Mytilus edulis: one gene and its partner. Each later gene encodes a partner of the first gene's protein in a complex. Links are inferred from orthologs where the notes say so. Each region holds a gene or a part of one and is shown on either strand. Other genes may lie near its edges. The genes, in order: nuclear RNA export factor 1-like and NTF2-related export protein 2-like.

Region 1 (7,997 bases):
TTGGTATGATCTTGACTCATGTCAATTTTGCCTTTTTTTATCTTGATGATAATTAAATACAATGTAATGAGTGTGCCTTCATAAAATAATATAAAACAAGAATGTGTCCCCAGTACACAGATGCCCCACTCGCACTATCATTTTCTATGTTCAGTAGACCGTGAAATTGGGGTCAAAATTCTTATTTGTCATTAAAATTAGAAAGATCATATCATAAGGAACATGTGTTTTAAATTGTTATTTGGATGGAGAGTTGTCTCATTGGCACTCACACCACATCTTCCTATATCTATGTGTACTAAGGCCGAGAAAAAAAAGACCTGTGTTTCCGGTAACCCGACCGACCCTGTTTTTTAGCCCCGACCCTAACTTTTTTATTGGATCTTCCAAAAAAAAAAAAAAAAATTTATCAACCGACCCTGTTTTTGACACAGGCTTCTGATAGATGACATAATATTTTTTCTCTCTTGCTTCCTCTTGCATAGAAAGCCAGTAAAACATTTTATTAATGTCAAAAGGTATTCCAAATAGGTTAAAATCCAAGAAATTTGCACAACAGGTGCTTCAAAAACATTGCAAATGGCACACTTCCGGTTTTTGAAACTAATTACGGATCTGGACTTGGAAAAACCATGATAATTTTCCGGATTTCATTTACGATGTCAAAAAAAAAAAAAAAACAAAAAAAAAAAAAGAATTCCGACCTACCGACCCTATTTTTTAAAATGATGTTATCGGAAACACATATCTTTTTTTTTAAGGCCTAAGTTTCAAGTTGATTGGACTTCAACTTCATCAAAAACTACCTTGACCAAAAGCTTTAACCTGAAGCAGGACCAATTGACATACAGACCAGAAAACATAATGCCCCTCTACTATCGTAGGTGGGGCATACAAATAATCAAAACAAACTTGAAATCATAATTAGAAGTCTTGATACATGTACATAAGGGTAACAAATCTTATAAAACTTCATTCTTGGAATATTAAAATTTCACCAATGTTAAAATTAAAGACAACATACCACCTCTGTTGTAACCACTTCCTCTATTAAAGCCCCCATAATTCTTCCTTCCACCTCGTTTTCCAAAAGATCTTTGTCCACCACCATGACCTCCTCTGCCATTGTCTGTCCATCGGTCATCGTGGTCTAAATAACAAAATATCAAAGTTATATCAGAAGTCCCACTTCCAGCCTCCATTGCTTTGAGTACATTCTATTCAGCATAGTGTTGTCTAGGACCGAATATCAAATACCCAAAAATGCTAACCAGTTAAATGGATTTTTTTTCAATTTTAATAGATTTGATATAAACATGATAAAATATATCAAATATTATGTAGACCTACATCTGAATGTTCTCGACATAACCCCCGGTTTATCGGATTGTTAAGGTACGCAAACACGACCGTGCATTTGAATGACAGTTTCCTAAAAACACTAGCTGAGTCTTGTTATCATCATAACTTTCCCTCAGCTATCAAAAAGAAGATGAAAACATGCTTTTATTCATTTTACCGGACATTAACTTGATAAATCCTGAGCAATTCCAGAAAGAATATGACAACATGACAAACGCTAATTGGATAAATGCCAAGAAGATTGAAATGTTTTCATAAACATGTGTACCATTTGAGCAACGGAAAATTCCAACAGGCACTACTTGATGCACAACGCTCTATTTTTAGAACGAAAGGATATTTCAAATTATAAATATTATAAAAATAGATTTACGCAGACGACTGTAATCAGCTCAGGGTAAATAACGCATACGAAAACGAATAAAAGTGTGAAGAACTCAAGGTTTTCGCATATAATTGGGTTTTCCTTTGGATGAATTGGGTTTAAGAACTATATCTACATCATACGACAATCCATCAGCACATTGATAACTATATTATCCCCTGCAATGGGCAATTGCATTGGTTTTTAATTATTTGTATTGCGTGATCACGCAAATACGCAGCTTATCTGGAGCTCTGGGGTAAATTATTTTTATTCTAATAGACGCTGGCACTACATTTCACATCTTCGCTAGCCAAGGGTTACGATCCACTCCAGAGAGCGAGAGTGGATCGTAACCCTTGGCTAGCGAAGATGTACATTTCACTACTGAGTACTTTAATTAAGTTAAAGGCCCTTTACACTCTACATGGATGACTACACTTCATGATACCTTTTACATATAACGTGACGGTACCCAAATTGCACCTATTTTGACAGTTTTTTCATCTACGTTTTTTTATCATGAAAACAAAAATGTCCATTCTGTGTTTATTTTGTAGCCCTATCTTTCTTTATTATAAAGGTACACCAATTTGATTTTTATTCCATATGGAATCATAGAAAAATTGGTCTAAACTGACCTCCAAACCATCAATGATTCTGAAATGAGGAGTACCCAAATTGCTTCCATGCTTTAATTCACATAGTCAAAAGTCTAATAACAGAGCTTTTGTTTAATTTCTTTAAATATTTTGAACAATTGGACATTAGTCCAAGCTTACTCTTCATTATTTTTTAAATGGATACTTGTAACATATTGTATTTGTTCATTTTAAAAAGATGACGTTTTGATGACGCGACGTTTCAGTACATTTTGCTTTTTCAGTAAATACTTCATCTGTTGATAGATACTGTGAACGTTTTGTGCATATCTAAATAGTTTTACCTATGTTGAAAGATGTGCTTAGTATCAAATCATAAAAAAAACAAATTGTTTAGTCTCTAGAAAATCTTGTAAGATTTTCGCTGCTAGTTTTGCTAAAATTATTATAGGTGCAATTTGGGTACTCGGTGCAATTTGGGTACCGTTACGTTATACATATAAAGTCCCCGATATGGACACAGTCTATAAGTTAACATATTTAATCGAAATATATAATAATGTCCCTAACCATAAGCATAACCCAAACCACAGGCCACTAAACAAGCCCCTGTGCCCAAACAATGTTTTCTGAAAATATGTGCACAAATTCTTTTAACCGTGTATAATTATAAAACCATTGGCCTTGAAAGTCAAAGATATTTAGCTAGATAATAATAAAAACCTCCAAATACACGTCTGCCATCACGACTTGTGGTAACTTTAAACTGGCTCATAATTAATCTGTTTCAGTTTCTTTTTTAGCAGTCCTAGGAAAAAATTGCCGTATGGTTAGAAAATGTGCTTGCTGTTTACGTCATTGATTGATGCGTAGAATCAATAAACTTGACGCAATGACGGATTTAATTCCGTATCTTAAATATTTTAGAAAAAACTCCATATTTAAAAACATACTTGGGGTTCATGGAAAGTCTTCCAATCTAGCAGTTCGATGCGAAATGGTCACATTACCCATAAGCATTAAATGTTATCAACTTGTGTATAAATACTATGTGCGTCTCAGTGATATTGGTGAAAGGTCTGGTGAAATTCTCAAGGCTGCTTTTGAAGTGGACAAAACTCTCACAAAAAGAGAAAATTCATGGTCTAATATATTTATATCCGAATTATTAAAATATATTTGAAAAGTCCTATGTCTGAAAAAGAACTAAAATCTAATTGTATGTACATTAATGAAGCTCTTAATTTGAGAAACCACCATACTGTTTCATCAGAAAATAATAATTATCCTTTATAGTAGTTTATGCATTTACACATTTATCTTTTATAGGTGATCAGTGGCGGATCCAAGGGGGGGGGTCCGGGGGTGCGCACCCCCCCTTTATTTTTGCCGATCAATGCATTTGTATCAGGACATATGTTTTGCACCCCCCCCCCCTTTGCCCTGGGTGCCCTAGGTTAGCACCCCCCCTTTCGAAAATTCCTGCATCCGCCCCTGGTGATTGTGTGATTATTAAAGTAAAATTATGAAAATTTTGAATAATCGGGATGTGTATGGTATCAATATCAGTTTAAAATGTAATGGTATTCATATAATATACTTAGAATGTTATGGTACCCATAGAATTTACTTAAATTACAACTTGTTGTTACATGCATCTATATTTCATTTATATGTTGTTTTAATAATGCTATTGTCTGTATTTGGATCACGCCTCTATTGTGCTCTTTCCAATAAATATTGAATTGAAATGGAAAATATTTCATTAATGGTTATATACTAGTAATTTTTGAGGCCCTTTATAGCTGCTGTTTGGTGTGAGTCAAGGCTCCATGTTGAAGGCCGTACCTTGACCTATAATGATTTACTTTTATAAATTGTTACTTGGATGGAGAGTTGTCTCATTTGCACTCATACCACATCTTCCTATATCTTAGATCATTTAGAACGCAGAAATATACGTTACAAATAAACAATACAATAGTACATGCTAAAAGTTATCAAAGTTACCAGACTTATAATTTAATGCACCAAACGTGCGTTTCGTCTACATGATAAGACTCAGCAGTGACGCTCAGATAAAAAAAAGTAATAAAGCCAAATAAGTGAATAAAACTCATCGGAAGATACAAGCTAAGGCTAACATTACAAAATTTCACCATAAGGAGACAAGTGTACAGCGGATGACATTGAGATGTTATTCCGAAGTTATGCTGAAGGTTTTTTTCTGATGAAGACTGTCATGTCTAACGCCTTAACTTTATATGTTTCTCTTTGATCAAAGATTTTTAATCGCCTTGAGTCGTTCATCGTCCATAACGCTATGGCACTTAAGGGTCACAAGTTTGATTTGCGATGATGGAATGCAAAGGTAAAGTAAAGTATTTCCCCGGCATAATGATCTTTTATATCGGCTATCATGTATTTTTTAAATATCTAAAAGAAATATAAGCAGTTTTATGTCAAGACAAACATATTCTTTATCTTTAACATTTTTGATTTTTTGATTTACAACATTGCTTAAAAGAACGACGGAAAACAAATGCAAATCCCTAGTTAGATTTTGAAATATGGAGCAATCTGCATAATTATGACCAGCTATAAATTGTAAAAAGAAGGGCGGCGCGTTTTATCAATAATGACTACAAATCAAGAGATGATGGATGCATCACAAAAATGACAGGTAAATAATTATCTACAGGGTGGTTGATGGTCAGGTATCATTGATGCCGACTTCTACATTATCCAAAACTAAAAGATGCCAAAACAAACCCCCAAAAAATCCAAGACTAAATTGTGGAAAGATGTTAAATCCCGCATCAACACAAACAGTAAAGATCCATCAAACCACCAATTTAAAAGCTCATGTTTCATCAGAACTGCTGTCGACTAGCTGGAACAATCTTTTATATAGCAATGTGACTGCAGTCAAGTCAACCAAAAGCTTCAAGCAATATATATATAGCTGCACTCAGGACTCATGATTTGCGGTATCCGCACCCCTAAGTAATAAAGCCCATGCATACCCATACTTTACCCATACAGATACAGATTCCCATTCCGATGTTCTTCGCTTGAAAGAAAGGTATGACATGAGGGGACGATCAATTCATTTTACCAGGGGGTGAGGATTTTGAAAATAACTTGTTAGAACTGAAAATAAATAGTTTTGCACAACTTTAGATATGATGAAAATAAATATTGTGCAACACAAAATACAGGCGTATACAAAAGCCGCTGGAAAAATAAGCATTATATGCATGTAGCAACAGATGAATGTAAAGACCAATCTAGAAAAATCCTACTCCCCAGAATGTCAGATACTCCTCTCAGTTTGCAGAGTTTTGATTCATGGGTGACATTCCATTGCTATATTGTATTCGGAAAAAATGAAATTGTTTGTACGTTCTAGCGTACTAATTAAATGATCCCATTGAAACGGTAATTATTCCGAAGATTATATCCAGATATAGATGATATTAGTACTGGGAAGATGATAAGCAGCTTTTATAAGATAAAATGTTGTTGTGAAAAAAAGGCGTTATATATTACTACGGTCTGACAATCATTCGAGAATACAACATTCCACTTTAGTAATAGTTGGCAAGGAGGTTGCATCTCAACGGTACTGAAATATAATGGTACCATGTACTAAAACATGTATAGTGTTCTGAATTTGATCATGCAAACATATCTTTTAATTTGCGAAGTACTACACCATGGTATTTTGATACGTTTCGTCATCAAGTGATTAGATTTTTTATGCATGAACTTTTTTAATGGTTTACAGTAATATGAGTTTAGATGCAAACTTCGCCTTGTATCCAACTCATAATGCTGTCTTTCTGAGTTTATGATTCTGGTCGGTATTCAAATTCAAATTTAGCATCATCCAGTAAAAATGTCGAAGCATTTTCTCAAGGCAATTTTTTTTTTAACAAGGATTGAAATGAAGGTAATGTTACGATGCATAATATGTGTTATTATTTTAAAAAAGATATTTAGAATAGCGTCCACAATTCAGAAATTACTAATAAGCACGTTAATATCATTATATTTGATTCATACTCTTTTTGTCATACTCTATCTGAGTATTCTAAATACCTTTTCTTTAAAAGGAAAGTAGAGGTGCGACACTGCTTCCAGAGTAATATAAGGTTTATTGTTATCAGATAAGACTTTCACTAGAGGAAATAAAATGAAATCATACAGACATTCTATCATATGGGTTTTGTTCATTGTTGAACGCCGTAATGTTACCTATAGTTTAATTGTTATCTATGTGTCATTTGGTCTCTTGTGTAGAGTTTTTTCACAGTGGCAATCTTACTATATCTTGTTTTTTATGTTCTATCAACAATTTTGTTACATAGTATATAATTAAAAGCAATACTTAAACAACCAACCATCAATCAGCTAAGGGCAAACGATACAGTTACCAGGGGGGGGGGGGGGGGGGGGGGGGATGACGTTGCTAACGTAAATTGTTATTTTCGAGACGTCAAACTATGACTTATCGAGAAAAGATTTAGTTTTCGACTGATTTTTATCATTCAATCTTATCTAACTTGTAAACGAGTTCTTGGACGCCTCTTTTTTAAAATGCCATTTGGTTTGATTACGTAAGAAGATTATGTGTGCCAATTTTCATGTAAACGTAAATAGTGCATTTTTTTTTAAATTTGATAAATATGCAGCCAAAGTAGACGTTTTTTTCTACATTCGTGAACATTTAATAAATATGAGTTATTTGAAAAACAAATTGCACAAAATTAAAGGACATTTATATAAAACAGAATTTACAAATGATTTAACAAAAAACAGCTTGTGTTTATCCTTTAAAACTAAAAGGTTATGTATTTCTGTCGAAAGGATAAATACGTCCACAAATCCGAATATAAAATTTGGACCTTATTTTACTCAAAAAGTAATACATGAAGGTATACATTTTTTTTTATTACATATTTGATTTAATCAGGCAAAAAATAGCCTATATGCAAATGTTCATCAAAATTTCAATATGGAATCAAAACTGTATCGTATGCTCTTACGGTCGTCGTTGTTAACATTTAAAAACAATATGTCAAAATGGTAAAAACTCTGACTTGTGTATAATTTGTTTATTTCAGTCTAGCAACTCTTTAGGTTATAGTCTCATATTATTGTTCAACTTCAATTTATCCATGAAGCCCTTTCCTTTGTTTAATGTCACGATCATGTCGCGTAAAAGAATTATAGATAATTCATTAAACTTCTTTTGGTTTAAAGTGAACGTCTATGAAAACTATCTTCTAGTTCTCAATGTTTTATTAATTTTTAAAGAACAACAAAATACAACATACAAATCGTTCAGTAAATATACAACCCCACACTCACTGAGTCACGGTAAAGTTGATTTTTTTTTTGGGGGGGGGGGGGGTAATTTTGCACGTTAAGATATATATGAAAGAAAGCCTTTTTTGTTGTTGTCTTAAAAAACATTTTACTTGAGTATTGAGTCAGTATGACAATGATTGCAAAATGTCAACAAAGTAAAGTTATTAAATTATGTGACCGGGTGTCTTTACAGTAAATACAGTCAAACTCCAAATTTGGAAATTTGTATGACATAAGTTGAAAAAATTCCTAGATAGTCAGACTGAGCTATTGATAACAGATGTCTTAACAGA
Region 2 (8,000 bases), on another chromosome or scaffold:
GATGGGTCACTTATCCGTAATTTATTAATTAACCCCATAATTGAATGACCATCATAATTATTTCCCCAGGAAAATCAGTCGGCATTTCAACAACAAGGAGTATAATTTCGTCATTTAATCAAAAATGTAACAACCATGACAACCCGGACAGTTCGCATTTGAATTTCAATATTTCCCAAACGATCACAATCTGAAGTTAGTTTGTCGTAGATTCGTCATTCGAAGGCATTTAATAATTGTTCATAATTGTAAATTTTTCTTTAATATATTGTTAATTTGTTATCCTTCTGGCCATATCTTTGACAATTTGTTTTACTCAACCATCTCTGTATATTCAATATAGTTAACCAAATAGCTTTTGAGCACTGATGGGTAAAGATTGCTTTCAATATGCAATGTAAAATGCATTTATTTATAAGGCAAGTCATATATGTTTAATTGGAATTATCTTAAAATGTACGTACAACTTCATCAGGAATTTATATTAATTATAGAATAACTAATCGAAGAATTCAAATAGAGAAAAATATTCAACAAGTGACCAAACAACACATTGATTCACGAATGCGTCCAGCGCATGAGTTATAATCAGTGTTGTTCGGTCACGAGTTGAGTATTTTTCGATATTTGAATTCTTTGATTAGTTATTCTTTTTATTACATTGGCAAATGGCTTTTTTATGAAATTAAACTAGAAAATGTAAGGACCTATACCTTTTTCTACACATTCCCAATTTGTTTTGATCAGACATTATCAAAGTCTTGACAACGCCTATTGTTGTATTAAGTCAGAGGAGTGAAATAACCATGTTTATTGCACATGTGAAATTATCGTTTTTTATTTCACTGGTAAATCAATGAAATTCATTGCAACCAATGTAATAATTACATTTATCATGAACCAAATCATATTTTCACTAGATCAAACAAGTTTTAAATTGATTACTAAAACTAAAAGTATATTATTCCATTCTAAACTTGGTCATATTTCTAGTTCTATGTTTTTTTTTCATCTCTGTTTGGTTTTTTCTTTTCTAATTTTGCAAGTATTTACCCCTTCAACATCATTGTCGAATGTATTCACCAGGTCTGCTACAAACTTTACAGCCTCTGGTGTGAGTAGCGTTCTGTAATAGTGTTCATAGTTCACAGGGGGACTACTAACTTCTATATTGGTTAGACCTAGCTACAATTTAAATACAAATAGTCAGGTTACATCAATACTATATCATTACTTCTTAAGGTGGTACCTAACACTACAGGGAGATAACTCAATTATCAGAACGTTTTAATGACATTGTGTTCTTAAGGGAATATTAAGCTTCTCAATGATCAAAATAAGTGTTTGTCAAACTGCAATATAACCAGTGTAATTTTTCTGATTAAATGGTTGGTTCAATTTTTTTGATTTTTTTATATTTTTGTCAAAGGGTCAAGGTAAATACTTTGTCAAAATTTTATGAAAATTAAACGAGCCAAATTAATTTTAGTGAAAGTGTTGGGTACCACCTTAAAATACTAATTGCACACAATAATTTCTGAATTTACAGTATATGACCTTTTAAAGTCTTGTTATGATGGTACAAAATGTACCAAACGCCTTGGTTAACATTAATTTGGCTTGTTTAATTTTCATAAAGTTTTAGCAAATTATTTATTATGTCCCTTTGACAATAATATAAAAGTTTCAAAAACTTGAACCACACACTTGGTTGGAAAAATTTTGTTGGATATAATATATATAGCAGTTTAACAAACACTAATTTTGTTGATTGAGAAGCTTAATAATTCCTAAACTGTAAAACATGTTACAATAGAATATGATTAAAACGTTCAGCTGAATTTACAGAGTTATCTCCCTATATTGTTTAGTACCAACTTAACAAATTTAGAACATCCATAATGTTTTTCACTTCTCTTGAATATCTTAATTAAATACCCAATAAGTAATCAAGCATGTCAAACATAGTCTTATCAAAAGAAAATTTCTTTGAAAATGATCATACTAATGTTTTGTTAATTTTCTCTGTGCAGAATTCTAAGATGATTCTCCTGATTCCTCGTCAGCCATTGTGATGTCTTTTGTAAATTGTATTGTTGGTTTGCAATCCCATTGTTGTATACACAAATGATTTATTGAAGTATCAATTGAGAGTTATTTCTCAGTAAGTCAGTCAGTTTCTTTGTTGAATTAATGAGATGAAACATTGAACTCTAATAAAAAATTATGAGCTACCGGTAACCTAGGAAAAATCATTAAAGGCATGATTTTAAATCTGAAAACTTGAGGTTTTTTTGGGGATTGTAAGAAAAATTTACTTATACAAGTGAATTTTTGAGAAAATTAAGGAGAGATTATTCAAACATTATAATTAACTTATATGTGTATATTTTTTTTTACTTCTTTAAGTAAATAAAAAATACTTCCACAAGTAGTACCACTGACTTGGCCAACAAGGTATCTGGTGTAAGATGATAAGTGGGACATTTTCTATGGAAAAACATTACTAAAATTTAAAGGATTTCTACGAGTCATAAACATGATAAAATTCAGAAACTGTCTAACATCATTAATATCAGACAAATGACCGAATGGCAATTGTCTAAAATCTGTCTAATGACACATGAATGAGAAGTACGAATATTTTACCTTCTGAAGTCCACTCTTCAAATGTAAGCAATCCTGAGATGAATCAAAACTACAAATCTTTGTAGTAATACAGGGTTCTCTCCCTTTCACCAATAAATGATTCTTTATTATTTTCAGTCTGTCCATTTCTGATTTTTAAACCATTTCCTAATGAAGAAACAATAAAAACAAATAATTTTTATATAACAAGAGTGCACGTGCTGAAATGTCTCACCTTCTTTACTAATCATTGATATTATGTTGTTAGTCCTAAATATAAAGCTTTACTATAACTGTCACAGTAACTTAACATTAACAAAGAAAATTAAACATTGACCAATGAACCATGAAAATGAGGTCAAGGTCAGATGAATCATGCCAGGCAGGCATGTTCAGCTAACAATTCTTCCAGACAACAAATATAGTTTAAAAAAAAACAGTCCAAAACACAAAACAATTATCAGTGTGCAATGAACTGTAAAAATAAGGTCAAGCTCAAATAAACCTGCGTGACTGACCATGCCAACATATAAATCATAAAATATTTCCATACACCAAATATAGTTAACCTATTGCATATACAGTATCAGAAAAAAAGACCAAAACTCAAAAACTTAACTTTGACCACTGAACCATGAAAATGAGGTCAAGGTCAGATGACACCTGCCAGCTAGACTTGTACACCTTACAATCATTCCATACACTAAACATAGAAGACCTATTGCATACAGTATACATGGTATAAGAAAAACAGACCAAAAGACAAAAACTTAACTATAACTACAAAGCCATGAAATTGAGGTCAAGGTAAGATGACACCTGCCAGTTGGACATGTACACCTTACAGTCCTTCCATACAATGAATATACTAGACCTATTGCTTATAGTATCTGAGATATGGACTTGACCACGAAAAACTTAACCTTGTTCACCATTTTGTTCACTGATCCATGAAATGTGGTCGATGTCAAGTGAAAACTGTCTGACGGGCATGAGGACCTTGCAAGGTACACACATACCAAATACAGTTAGCCTATTACTTATACATGTAATAAGAGAGAATTTAACATTACAAAAAATATTTAACTTTTTTCTCCAAGTAGTCACTGAACCATGAAAATGAGGTCAAGGACATAAGACAAGTGACTGACGGAAACTTCGTAACATGAGGCATCCATATACAAAGTATGAAGCATCCAAGTCTTCCACCTTCTAAAATATAAAGCTTTTAAGAAGTTAGCTAATGCCGCCGCCGCATCACTATCCCTATGTCGAGCTTTCTGCAACTAAAGACCTAGGCTCAACAAAAAGAAGTAGATGTAGTATGATTGCCAATAGAATAACTATCATGACTATCAGAGTATCCACAAGAGTTTACATGAAGTGGATGAAAGCAATTATAGGCCACTGTACGTACATGCTACATGCAGCCTTCAACAACGAAAAAAATCCCATACTGTATAGTCAACTATAAAAGGCCCGATATGAAATTTTGAAAACAATACAAACAAGAATAATTGTGTCCTAGAACCCTTGTGCTGTGAGCTTTACTACCTTTTTTTTGTTAAAAAAACACCTTTTGTAAAATCATGAAAATAGTAGATTCAAGTTTTTAGGGATCAAATGTTGGAAAAAAATAACTACAGGCAAGGGGTCTTAATTCAAATGACTTAAACCTTCAATGCATTACAAATATACAGTTAAGTCCTTAAGATGATATATTTTTCTGGACAATTTACGGACCATAAATAGTCCACAAGAGTAAAAAATCAGTACATTAGACATGTTATTTGAGCTAACATTGGTTTTGCAGCTATTATACAGTAAGTATATAACCAATTCATTGTAAGGGATTTGCAAAGTGTCAAAACTGAAAATAATTTCATTTGAATTAATTAATGGAAAATAACTGAATTTGCATGTAAAGCTTGATCAGTGACACTGGCAGTTCGGCAATGACCCCCATGTCATATAATTTTTTGTCTTTGGGACAACGAAAAGAAATGCTCTGAGTGAATGACTGAATGACAGTGTAATGCATGCTGTCAGAACAAGTCAATAAATCACCAGGATGCAGTTTTTATTGTCATTTCGGAGAGCATGGGATTTAAAATACACAAATTTACCTATCAAAGTGTCAAGGCCCTGTGAAAAAAATCTCTTCAGTTCTTAACTGGTACCCTGCAGCTACGCAACTGGTACACAAAAGACAAAATATTAATTTTAGAGTCAATCCCGGAAATTTTACAACAGAGGAGGCATGACATCTTCACTGTCTGATACTGTAATATTTATTCCTATAGCATGTTATAGCTGTTATATTAATTTAAATTTATGTAAAGGTTTTTAACCTATAAATTTTCAGTTTCAATATCTCTCAAACATGAAATAGATTATTTTTTGTCTCAATGGGGGTACATGCAATTTTTTCAATACTTCAGATAGGGGAGGGTTGCACTGAAACAATGCTGACCCACACCCACCTCTTCCCCATTCAATAAAAAATAAAATTGAAAGCCGTACGGTGACCTATAGTTGTTAATTGCTGTGTCATTTTGGTCTCTTGTGGAGAGTTGTCTGGTCTGACAACATTTATAAATTATACATCATGTACATTGTAACATTTGCCTGATTTGGAAATTGTGTGCTGAAAAATTAACACCATGATCAATATGATATTGATAATCAACATGATCTGAGACTACTATAATTTTATAGTAGTCTCAGACATCAAACTATATAGATTACTATAAATTCCGAAATTTATTAACGTACGTCTTATTTAAGTGAGGTTCAGAATAATGTGAATAATGCGTCTACTTTATGAGGGTTGTAATGCCCTTGAACATCAAACAGTCATTTCAGCTACCGTTAGCCTCAAATTGGTTAAAATTTTACGGTGATTCATCAAAATATCCTTATCATGATTCTTCAGAGGTCTCAAATAATTATCGTTACTTTCATTTTTGGAAAGAAAAAAAAATTGATTCGTCAAAATCAGTTGAAGTTTTATCGTCTAAAAGAAAGTGTACATTTTATTGTCATACACCAAAAATTACCATTTACGTCATTTGGCAAGAATTTTTACCATTATTCAACATGAAGGTACCCCCATTACCACCCTCACTTTAGTACCGTAATAATAAGAACTTGCATTCTGTTATAAAATACATATAAATTGACTAATTCATGCTGTCCTTTCAATAATTATATGGGGACGGAGTCCCCAATAACAGTAGAAAATTCAATAAAAAAAAAAATACGGGAAAATTTCCCGAATTTTTCATTGTACTAATGAACTCAAAATCGTTCAAATTTTTTTTGTCGTGTTTTGAAATCCCGGACCTGCGCAGAAATGTACAATGTACTTCCTTTTTCCGGTCTCGTTTGTATGAAACTTTGAGTAAAATATATATTTATCAGTCTAGTATAAAATAGGAAGGAACACGCAATACCAATTTCATTTTTAATAATTCCTTGATATGAAAAAACGTTACCTGATGATAGCGTTTCTTTGTTTACATTGCATATGACGTCATAATTTAAATAACGTCACAACTAAATCCCTAACAACAGAACCAAAATCGGAAACGTTACGGTATTTCTGTTTTTTTTTTTTTTAAACAAATATTTAAGTTACAAAAAAATAATTCATACAGACTTCGTCCCCATTTACAGGTAATGCCTGCCTCATATTAATGGGTTTAAACTAGAGACATATATACCACATGTATTTATATCTCTGGTTTTAAGTTCACAGGCGTTTGAAATCTTAGCATTAACAGTGTATAAATATGTCAAACTCGACTATCGATCACAGTAGAGCTTCTCTCAAAGACCAATGGCGGTTAACTTCTCATAAAGGGGGTGGGGGACAGCTCCATTCAAGCTTCAGTGATTTCCTATTTAATCAACCAAATTTTCCCCACAAAAAGGGCCACAGCTTATCATTGTTTTTGCACTGTCAGAGATTTTGCCATCATGAAAAAATACCTTGTGAAGTGAATTGTTCTTTTTAGATTACAGTAATTGTAATAATTTACATAATGTATTGTTGTATTTATTTAGGAGCTCAGCACCAAAGTAGATCAAGCAGCAGAAGCAGGGGAGCAGTTCTCCAAACTGTATTATGAAACCACAGACAAGAAAAGACATGTATGTACCATGTTGTGTACTGGTAACCTAATATATATGTATGTAGGAAGATGTGGTATGAGTGCCAATGTAAAAACTCTCCATCCAAGTCACATTTTGTTAAATTTAACCATTATAAACAACATTCCAATAAAAATATTATCTGTGTTTAAGAAGTGTGTCACTTTACAGGAGTCTAATTTAAGCTATTTTGTGTAGTGGACAAAAATAAATCTCCTAGTCCGGCTCCAACTCTACTGGTCCTGCAAAAATGAATTTCATTTGAGAAACGCAAATTTAAAATGATTTGATTTGAATTTGAATGATTCATGTGATTTTCCCTGCCTTTGGTTTCTTGTGTGCTTTCCTCTCCTTTATTCCTGTAGATTCTTTGTGCTGTTCTGATTGTTCACGAGCGTTGACATGGATTTAACTTAAAATTTGAAGATCCTGTTGCAAAAATACATTTCTTAATTAGGTCTGTCACTGCAAATTTGTCACATGTTATACAATTTATTACATTGCAATCGACAATATAATTTAACTATTCACGATCTTTCTCACAGGATTTTTTATATTTGTTTCCTTTTTGTCAATTTTATAAAAAAAATCTGATCTTCCTTTTGCATGTCACTTATTTTTATTTTGTGTCCGACGGTTTAACTCCTTCCAGAAATTTCCACATTTTATGTTGCTGTGAAGTACTTGCACCCAAGATATTAATTAGCTTTATCAATTGTAATAATTAGAACCCCCAGTCCGGGTAAATGATTTCGCAGGTAAATGTTTTTGTAAACAAATCGAGATAGCAATGCAATCAATGATGTAATCGGCAAATTTCTACTGGTCCCACAGACCACCAGCTAATAAAACCTACTGGTCTGACGCAAATTCTACTGGTCTCAGTATCACCGGACCAGCATCAATTTTGAACCCTGCTTTATACAGTGCACTCAATTGGATTGAACTTAATATCAAGCAACATGGTCAAGTTGTAAGAGAAGTTCTAATAAAGAAATAGAACAACACTTTCATGCCTCTGAAGTGGTTTCCTGAATTTACCTTCATTTAAAGAGGAATTCAACACAAACATACAATTAAACCATTGTAAACTAAACCTGAATATATGACGATTCAAAATAAATTGAATTACAATAACTTACTAAAGATGCTAAATGTCCTAATTTCTTGCAAGATTGACTCAAATAAATATCAAATATCATATGGTTACAGATTTC

What was found.
Region 2: the proteins of nuclear RNA export factor 1-like (region 1) and NTF2-related export protein 2-like are in contact, whole or in part, in a crystal structure (PDB 6IHJ), measured with the Drosophila melanogaster proteins. The link is inferred for Mytilus edulis from reciprocal best matches to the Drosophila melanogaster genes sbr and Nxt1. Residues at the interface, in NP_524660.1 of Drosophila melanogaster: Leu359, Leu360, Glu361, Thr362, Lys363, Ala364, Ser365, Tyr366, Met404, Leu405, Ser406, Ile407, Ser408, Met409, Pro410, Gln414, Arg426, Asn427, Leu428, Arg429, Arg438, Thr439, Leu442, Tyr444, Thr467, Val468, Asp469, Thr471, Ile472, Met477; in NP_611833.1 of Drosophila melanogaster: Met1, Leu5, Val9, Glu10, Ala13, Asp17, Arg21, Thr43, Ser45, Trp46, Asn47, Gly48, Asn49, Gly50, Ile52, Tyr60, Leu64, Leu71, Asn72, Thr73, Leu74, Asp75, Ala76, Gln77, Pro78, Ile79, Val80, Asp81, Leu91, Met93.

Annotation. Positions count from the first base shown.
Region 1 is NC_092346.1:23,919,327-23,927,323, reverse strand, and holds the start of nuclear RNA export factor 1-like, read right to left. Parts: upstream 3,215-7,997; 5' UTR 3,104-3,214; coding exon 3,052-3,103; intron 1,151-3,051; coding exon 1,025-1,150; intron 1-1,024. UniProt on the Drosophila melanogaster protein: Mediates the export of the majority of mRNAs from the nucleus to the cytoplasm. In ovarian follicle cells, plays a role in transposable element silencing regulation by enabling the nuclear export of flamenco (flam) transcripts and subsequent piRNA biogenesis.
Region 2 is NC_092351.1:84,636,062-84,644,061, reverse strand, and holds the start of NTF2-related export protein 2-like, read left to right. Parts: upstream 1-4,807; 5' UTR 4,808-4,888; coding exon 4,889-4,912; intron 4,913-6,696; coding exon 6,697-6,783; intron 6,784-8,000. Other genes in the region: malate synthase-like, read right to left, coding at 1,054-1,185, 2,650-2,775.